Coturnix japonica: one gene and its partner. The protein of the gene in region 1 purifies or fractionates together with the protein of each later gene. This does not show direct contact. Links are inferred from orthologs where the notes say so. Each region holds a gene or a part of one and is shown in the gene's direction. Other genes may lie near its edges.

What was found. The genes of interacting proteins can lie anywhere in the genome.
Region 2: the proteins of SHCBP1 (region 1) and RACGAP1 purify together in Homo sapiens (affinity purification with mass spectrometry; 8 studies listed by BioGRID and IntAct, counting the BioPlex papers as one, with this or other methods). This does not show direct contact. The link is inferred for Coturnix japonica from reciprocal best matches to the Homo sapiens genes SHCBP1 and RACGAP1.

The regions. Positions count from the first base shown.
Region 1 is NC_029526.1:6,660,438-6,664,787, forward strand, and holds the start of SHCBP1 (SHC SH2 domain-binding protein 1), read left to right. Parts: upstream 1-1,480; 5' UTR 1,481-1,545; coding exon 1,546-1,687; intron 1,688-2,026; coding exon 2,027-2,197; intron 2,198-2,619; coding exon 2,620-2,735; intron 2,736-4,030; coding exon 4,031-4,239; intron 4,240-4,350. UniProt on the Homo sapiens protein: May play a role in signaling pathways governing cellular proliferation, cell growth and differentiation. May be a component of a novel signaling pathway downstream of Shc. Acts as a positive regulator of FGF signaling in neural progenitor cells.
Region 2 is NC_029544.1:383,519-387,835, forward strand, and holds the start of RACGAP1 (rac GTPase-activating protein 1), read left to right. Parts: upstream 1-1,480; 5' UTR 1,481-1,576; intron 1,577-1,842; 5' UTR 1,843-1,846; coding exon 1,847-1,931; intron 1,932-2,352; coding exon 2,353-2,555; intron 2,556-2,882; coding exon 2,883-3,019; intron 3,020-3,221; coding exon 3,222-3,291; intron 3,292-3,499; coding exon 3,500-3,553; intron 3,554-3,834; coding exon 3,835-3,912; intron 3,913-4,045; coding exon 4,046-4,163; intron 4,164-4,317.

The DNA.
Region 1 (4,350 bases):
CCATGTTCAAAGTCTGAACTGAAATGAAGAGTTGATCACAACAACATAATATCCCATCACCAACAGCTGCATTCCTTTGCATCTGCATTTTGCATTTTATTTTGCTTTGTTTGCAGTGAATGAGGAGGTGCAATGATTGCACAAAATAAACGCTGCAAGCAATTTGCATTCTTTTCAAGCTGCCCTCTTCCCGCTATGATTGTGCCCAATGATTTGTTGTGTTCTGCATCTGCAGCAATTGTGATGCAATGTCAGGCATGTTTGTGGTTAAGGGAAAGTCAATACGCAGCAGACAATGCAGCATAAATCTTGAATCTCCTCAGGTGGATTGTGAGAAGAGGTGCCATAAACACAACAATCCGTATCTGTAATGCTGTTATTGTAGTTATAAGAAATAAGGTGTTTGTTGGACCAATTTGAGGTCCACGAGGCACATTTCTGAAGAAGCCAGTGTTGAGGGTATCCTGAAAACTGCTTAAATTAGAGTAGAAAAAGCACTTCAGAAAGCATCCTCTGCTAATGGAGTCAAGCAGTAATGGAAGCAAATGATTTCAAGATCTGATTTTTCTGACTTTCAGAGGTATGTTGGTTACAGTGATATGGCTCCATCTTTGATAGATACAGACATTTGGATGAAGAGAGAGCTCATATGTGAAGCTCCAAAGTAGTTCTTTAAAAAAGCCCATCAATTGGATTTGACTTGATGTGGGGATGAAACAATGAAGCTATAAAGGTTTGCACAAGTTCAATTGTTTTTCTGGTTAGATTCGATTTCTTTAGGCTTGCAATGATGAAATACCTGTCAAAGAACATACTTTATTGCTAATAACCCAAATAATTAACAGCAGCCTGCAGTTACACGGCACGATATCAGAGTGGTTTACAAATGAGTTAATCATTCACATGCAGTAAAAAAATACTGTCTACATTTTATGATGGACAAATGGGAGCCTAAGGAGATTAAATTATTGCCATGGTAACAGAAGGAATTTGTGTCAAGAGCAGAGATGGATGCAGGCTTCTCACTGCAAAGAATGGTACCTGAGGCAGATATTTTTCACTTTTGTGCCTTTTTTATTGTTTCTTTCCTATCAGTGTGAATGTGCTGGCTCGTCTCAACCACTTACTCCACACATCCCTGATAGACACTTTCAGAATGACTGGCCTTATAGCAACTCACTTTTTGTTTTCTATTTCATGTAATAATACAGTTTGATCTCTCAATACTTCTTGTATTTTAAGTTTGAAGGCTGACATTTGGTTAATGATGAGCAGGTTAACGATGATGTTTGAGGTCTAAGGCGGCCCTCTTGTGGTTGTTCGTGTTTTAAAGCAATTGTGGCTTAAAAAACAACCCATCCGCCTCGTGCTGTGTCCAAGCGCTACGGTTCCTCAGCCCCGGTTCCTCCCAATGGGCCCAGAACCTGGGACCGCCCCACAGCGCAACGGCCCGACCGCCCGGCAGCCAATGGAGGCGGGCAATGCCCGTGACGTGCGGGGCGGCACCGCGGCCAGTTTGAATTTGTGCGGGAGGCAGAGAGGAGTATGGCCGGTATGGACTGTATGGGCGATATGGCCAATATGGGCAGTATGGCCAATATGGGCGATATGGCCGGTGTGACCGGGCGGGGGCTGCTGTGCGGGAGCGCCGCTGTGCCGCGGAATTGCGCCGAGGAGCCGAAGCCAGGTAGGGCCCGCACCCACTGCGAACCGCGGAGCTGCGGCTACTGCAGCTACAGAACGTGGCTGTGCGGGAAGGAATTGGGATTTGAGGTGCTGTGTGGCGCTGGCACGGCATTCCGGGCACCTCTGGTTGTGCTTCTCGAGTAGTATTCGATGGTTAAAGTCGCTTCATAATTACGACTTTATGAATTGCAGCGTTTTTGTGGCACGCTGTGAGATGTGTTATGGAAAGCAGGAGTGTGATGGATTTCGGGCCGGACAGGAGTTGTTTGGGAATAGAAGAGCAGTGATTGTATGGATGTGACGACCTGTGGGCTGTGCTTTGTTCCCACTCCTCCCACAGCTCCCACCCAGGAGGATGAGGACACCTGCAGCGATTATGGGAGCCGGGACAAGCCGGGCAGTGCCCTGAGCAGGGCGGTACCAGATGGGAACGTGCTTTTCCCTGATACTTTTTGCACCGATCATCTTTTGTTTTATGAGCGATTTAAAGCTTACCAGGATTACATTTTGGGTAAGTGGTTTTAGCAGGGAAAGAATACGTGGCTGTGTTTCTTAAGGCTTTTGCTCTAAGTGGAGTCGGTTGCATCTGAAGCACTCTTAATAGCAAGGACTGGAACGTACATGGTGTATGTAAGTCATCACTGCTGGGCTGTCACGCTGTCACCTCATCTGATCAGGCTGATGGGCCCAGGAGGTAACAGCTTTAACGTGGGTAAATAAGATGTGAATATCTGAATGGAAGAAGTGCTAATGCTGGGCTCTGTGCTTGGTTTTACCTGGTGTTATTAGAACCTTCCTGTATGTAATGAGACTCCTTGAGATATGGCACAGACCCAGCAGCGCTGCCACTGAAACCTTTGATTCTTTTCATTTTCTGCTGATGGCTTCTCATTCCTTTCTTGCATAAATGTAGTGCCTTCCATTTTATTCTAGCTGACTGCAAAGCTTCTGAGGTGAAAGAATTCACAGCTGAGTACCTGGAGAAGGTCCTAGAGCGGTCGGGATGGCAGGCTGTTTGGCGCACTGACGTGTTTGAGGTCCTCGTTGAGGTAAATGGGATGTGGTTGTTCAGGCTCAATTTGCCTCCCACCAACACTGTTTGCCTCTATAACGGGCAGATCACTTATCTATGAGGTTTATGAACTGCTAGAAATTAATATGTTTTTTCTATGTAATTTCCATTGAGGAGTAAAGCAATAGGAATTTCTTTCAAAAGAGTACTTAACACTATTTTTGTACACTGGTTGTGCTTTTTTTGCCTAAAAGCATGAGGTTGGAACCTGTGGTCTGATATTTGCATGAGGGACTGTTATGGCAGTGAGGCACTGCTGCTCAGAATAAGCTCTTCAGGGCTACAGCACATCACAACTCCAATAAATTAAGCACTAGGTAGGCTTTCTATTTTTTTGCTTTATCACATAATTTAACCCTGGAATTTAGCTGTCTACTACTTAAAGTTTACTTCTGCTTTTAAACTACAGCATTTCAGTGGGACAGTTGAATTTCGTTTTCTTTGAGATACAATTGTGAATAAACTGGTGTTGGTATCTTGAGAATAAGCTGCACCTAGTTCCACAAAGGTTTTCTGGACTTTGAATTCTTAGCAGAGCATATAGAGCATGATTGCTATTTGTAGGATAAGTTTATTGGTGCTAAACCAAAATGTTTGTACAGCATTTATGTCATCTGTGTGCTAGAGCAGAGAATAATCAATTACCTTTTCTTGAGCTTTTCAAGAGCTGGGTAAATGATATTAAACCCCAGAGTGGCAATATAGAGCCTGTGTAACGCCCCTGTGTGAAGACTGTAGCAAAAACACACCCAAGTTTCAGAGATCCTCTCAAGTGTCTGAATGTTTCCTGGGAGAACTGTGCTTGAAAGGAAGCAACATTCTCACAGGGATCCTTGAAATGAGGAGGAGGAGTCCAAGTCAGCATGGGTGTGCTGTGAGGTTAAGCCTGGTGGGCACAGAAGGAATAAGTGCATTGTCCAGAGCTGGCTACTGAGGTACAGTCTTTACAAATACCAGGCTGTGGTCACTTCTAAGTTCTTCTTATCATTAACATTTTTCTGTCTAATTGACTTTGATAGTAACTATAGCTCTTGTTGTTGTTGGAGGATTTGAGCCTAGTTTTGAATGTCAAAGAGATGACTCCAAATTTTTGTTTTTTTAGGAGTTTATTTCTAGGATGATCATTTTGACCAGATTGCCTTTGTTGTAATATGTACCGTGTGTCAGCTGGCACTTAGCGAGGTCTGCTGGGTTGTGCACATCATGCTCGCCTTCCTCAGCTGTATCTATGATTCTGTGTGCAGAAATTCTAAGGGCTGTTCATTCTAACAGGTTGTTGATGTGGAGTTCTCAGCTCTGAAGGCAGTTGTGCAGCTCTGTGAGCCTTTCCTATTCGAGTCACAGGTTAGCACCTTTACACTGGAATGCATGCAGGAACTCTTGGAGCTGAAGGAGCGTCGGATATCACTGCAGGAGCTGTGGGTTGTGTATGATGAGTCGGGGGAGTTTGATCAGACGGCGCTAGCTGTGGAGCATGTCAGGTAGGAAACTGCTTTGGGGCTAATTCTTGTCTTGAGCAATTGCACTCTGGTTGTATCTAATGTGTGCTGTCCTGAATTCTTGTGGCCATGTGGCAGCCCCGCGTGCCTGGC
Region 2 (4,317 bases), on another chromosome or scaffold:
ATTGCTGTTTTATTGCCATTGCGTGATTCCGCTTTCTTGTAAATCGTTGGGTTTTGGTTTGTGTTTTTAGTTGTATTAAAGGCTTGCAAATGGGAGGAGGAATGAAATGAGGCTTTGCCTTTTGGCTTGTGGGTCTGTTGGCTCAAATAGAAGACAAAAGGCCACGGCATCATTCTTCTCAAGGGACAACACTGAACCAAAGGCCTTCTGGAAAGCTTTTGTTATCTGAAATAGCTTTGGGGCACATTGAATGCCTGATGTCACCAATGCACAGGGGACTCGGAACCCTGCCATGCTTTGTGTCATTGGTTTAGCACAGTTACAGCCAGGGCTTGGCCTGAGAATAGCATTTCTTCCCCCAAAATACCCCTGTGCTGCCAATGGCTGCGTTCAGGGTTAATGCAGAAGGAGCAGCCCTTGGGTTGGGGGTCCAGGCCCCACCGCCATCCCTGCCTGCTCTGTTGCTAAGCAACAAGGGCTGGAAGCAACTGCCAATAGTAAACATGGCGCCTAGCCGACTTCACCATCTGTCAAACCCGGAAATCAGAGGAAGGGAAAAAGCTTTGCCCTTAGCAGACATGGCGCCAATTTGGCTTCAGACACACGGCGAGCAGAACCAATCAGAAACCAGAAGGGTGGAGAGCGCCCTGTGATTGGCCGGCGGCAGGGATTCAAACCGAATCGCGGGGCAGTTGAAGCCGGCTGTTGGAGTGGGAGCTCGGAGCGGGTGAGTGCGCGGGGGGAAGCCGGGTTGGGGAGGGGTCTAAGGGGCTTCGATATGGGATTGGGGGGCATCAGCAGGGTCCTGGGCTGAGGGAGGTGGTCTGCAGGGCCCTGATCTTGAGCTGAGGAGGCTCGGTGGGGCCCTATTGCCGGGCAGCCTCCCGGTGTGTGTGGCGCGGGGTAGGCCCGAGGCCTGTTACCTCAGGGCAGGCCCGAGGCCTGTTACCTCAGGGCAGGCCCGAGGCCTGTTACCTCAGGGCAGGCCCGAGGCCTGTTACCTCAGGGCTGTCCCACCCGTTGTGCCCTATGAAGAGGCTGTGAGGGCTCCATATGGAGCTGTGGGTGTATTGAGGTGCTGGGGAGTGAGACACAGGGCTATGGAGTGTCCTCAGAGCTTTGCTTTTCCATGCAGAAAACCCCAATGTGTGTGGGGTTATAACCAAGCATTGTAACAGGGCGTTGTGCCCCTCCTGGTGCCACTCCCAGCCATCCTTCACAGCCGCCCCTTCACCTGGAGCTCATTCATTAACCAAGCCTGTCCTGAGTGCCCCCTTCTGTATTAAAGAACTGCGTTCTGTGCTGCTGAGCTCGAGGCTTTCCTCTTGGCTGCTCCTGTTTATGCCGTTGTTTTCGCTGTTTGAGGGATTTGTGCTGACTGCCTGCATTTCCAAGGCCGTTTGCAGCAGGAGCTGTAACTTAAAGTGGAGCTAAATATAAAACGGCATTGAAATTCCCCCTGAATGCTGCTTCTATTTTTACCTCGTGTTGCTCTGAATGCTTACAGATTTCTGGTGGCCTATATAGCACCGGAGTGGGCCCGAGCCACGTCCTGCAGCCTGGCAGAAGGAAAATGGTTTGTGATCCCTCCTCTGTAGTAAACTGGAGGCTGTTTGGGAAGCTGTGCTGCTCTAATACTAAATTCTGGAGGGCTGAGTGCCTTTGCCCCCTAAGAATTTAGATGCACATCTCTTCATAAAGCCTAACATCTTTTTTTTGTGTGTGTGCAGCTGCTACATCTTGCCTAAAGAAAAGAGAATTCTGAAGCAAATTCTCTCTTTTTTGGGGCTGGTAATGCATTTTTCATTTGGAGGTGTTGATTTAGTTCTGTTTTCTTGGCAGGAGGATGGATACCACAATGAGGAACCTGTGGAATTTGTGTGACCAACTCATACGCCAGGCTGAAGTTTTAAGCGAGGGGAATGAATGCCGTAAGTTTTGAGACATCAAGCAGCATCTGTGTGTTTATATTCTTGCAGCAAGCATTGCTAGCTGTTATTGAAGGATCTGTTGATGAGGTCTTGAGTAATAACACTCTTCCAGGCAGCCAGATTTGAAGGTTGTTTCTTTTTCCTGTTGTTGAGAAATAGGGAGTCATAGGGTGAAAGCAAGTTGCCTTTGTCAGGGTCTCACATGAGGTATCTGCTGCTTGATGCTGCTGCTGAGACTTGGTCTGCAAAGGTGGTGACATCTTGGGAACATCCAGAGTGTAGTGGGGTTTGCTGCAAGGCCAGCTTCTCCATGTTTCAATTAATAGAGATTTTAATTAATTAATTATTAGAAGTCTGCCCTCAATTATAGGAGAGCTGTTGCATCTCCTCTCTTAATCTGAGTGATGTATCTTTTCTCCAGAATTTATTCAGCTGGCGAAGAACTTTGAAGACTATCGAAGGAAGTGGCAGAAAACTGAGCAGGAGCTTGGAAGATACAAAGACCTGCTGATGAAAAGTGAAGCTGAACGTAGTGCTTTGGACGTGAAGCTGAAACATGCGCGCAATCAAGTGGATGTAGAGATCAAACGCAGGCAAAAAGCTGAAGCAGACTGTGACAGGCTGGTGAGTGTTTCTTTTATTACTGGTTAGCTCTAGTTGATGTGGAGAGAAGGTGGTTAAACTGCAATTAACCGGGGGGGGGGGGGTGTGGAAACAATAGGGGGAATAAAAACAAGTCAGTGATGGGTTGATCTGGCTCCTTGTAATGGCCTTCTGCTTTTGTCTGGAAGGCGAAGGGCTGCTGTTTCAGAGCCTGGGCTTTGCAGATATCAGCAGCTTGAGTGCTGGACTTGCTCTTAGCAATTTGTGAGAGCCTATCTGTGTGGTATCTCAAATACCTGAGATTGGTTCATGTAATTAAACGGCTTCTGATATTATCTTTCTTTTCAGGAGAGGCAAATACAACTGATTCGAGAGCTGCTCATGTGTGATGCATCTGGGAGCATTCAGCTAAGTGAAGAACAGAAGTCTGCCCTTGCCTTCCTTAACAAACCACAGGTTTCTGTAGGAGGTTCAGGCAACAAGAGGTAGGCAGAATGGTTTTGTCTGAACAGCATAAGTGACAGCTACTGGTCTGCCTGCGTGTGTCTGAGATACATGTTGCATCCATATCAACAGTTTTACTTTTATTCCAGTTTGAAATAGAGCTCTTTTGCCTAAGGTTGCTTTGGGACCACAGCTGCCTGAAAGCCAAACTGATGCATGCTTCTTCTAATTCTTGGTTTTTAGACTGTCTACAATAGATGAATCTGGCTCAATTCTGTCAGACATCAGCTTTGACAAGACTGATGATTCACTGGTAATGTAATTCCAAGTTCTAAACTATGAAATCTTAAACCTGCGGGGTAATCTCTAGAGACCTCTTGTGTTTAGATTACTGTGGTATTAAATTGGTAGAGCTGATCTGCATATCTCTGCTGTGCTATTGGGTAAAACGTAATGGAGGTGTGGACCAGAGGTGGTGTGGTGTTTACGCTGAGCTAACCAGTGCTGCATGTTTTCCACAGGACTGGGATTCCTCTGCAGTGAAAACTGTCAGACTGAAGAGGAGAGAGAAGAGGGTATGTTCAATTCTTTCCCTTCACATAGATACTGTTGTTAGCATTAACTGGTGTCACCTGTGATGGGTAGGTGCTAGTCACAAAACCTTGATGGATGTGATTCAGACTTGCTGTGTAGATTTGGTGTGAAAGTTATTTCTGATACTGTTTTTCCACAGGGCATAATGAGTGGAGTTTCAGGTATCTTGTTATGAACTTGAGTCTGCAAGAGAGTGGTTAAAATACATCACTAAGTTAATAGTATTACCTGCCTTTTAGACTAAAATACTGTGTCTTTTCAGCGCTCTTCCAGGCAGCATGCTGAAGGCCCACCAGCTCCTGAGAAGAAAATCAGATCAATTGGCTCCACAGCAGACCAGGTATAGTGATCCCAGCTGGCTGTGTGTGTGTTTAAAGCAGTTGGCCACAGTGCACACCTGCTTCCAGGGCCAACAGACTTAAATCCTTGTCCTGTCAGCATTGCTGTCACCAACAACACACTTCTTGCTACAGGGAAATGAATCCATAGTGGCAAAGACGACTTTCATGGTTCCCAGTGATGGTGGTCCTATTGAAGCCATCTCTACCATTCAGACTGTGCCCTACAGCCTGAGAAGCCAGAGAAAGAGTGGTAGGTGTCAGCTTGTTGTCCTAAATCAGTGCTTAGCAGGCTGGAGGGTGTCCTGTCATTGTAATTTCCTATGCTCCACCACTTAAGCTGCTGCCTCTGATTTGTAGTGCATGTTGTCTGGAGCACGGAATGCACTAGGGTACGGTTCCCATCT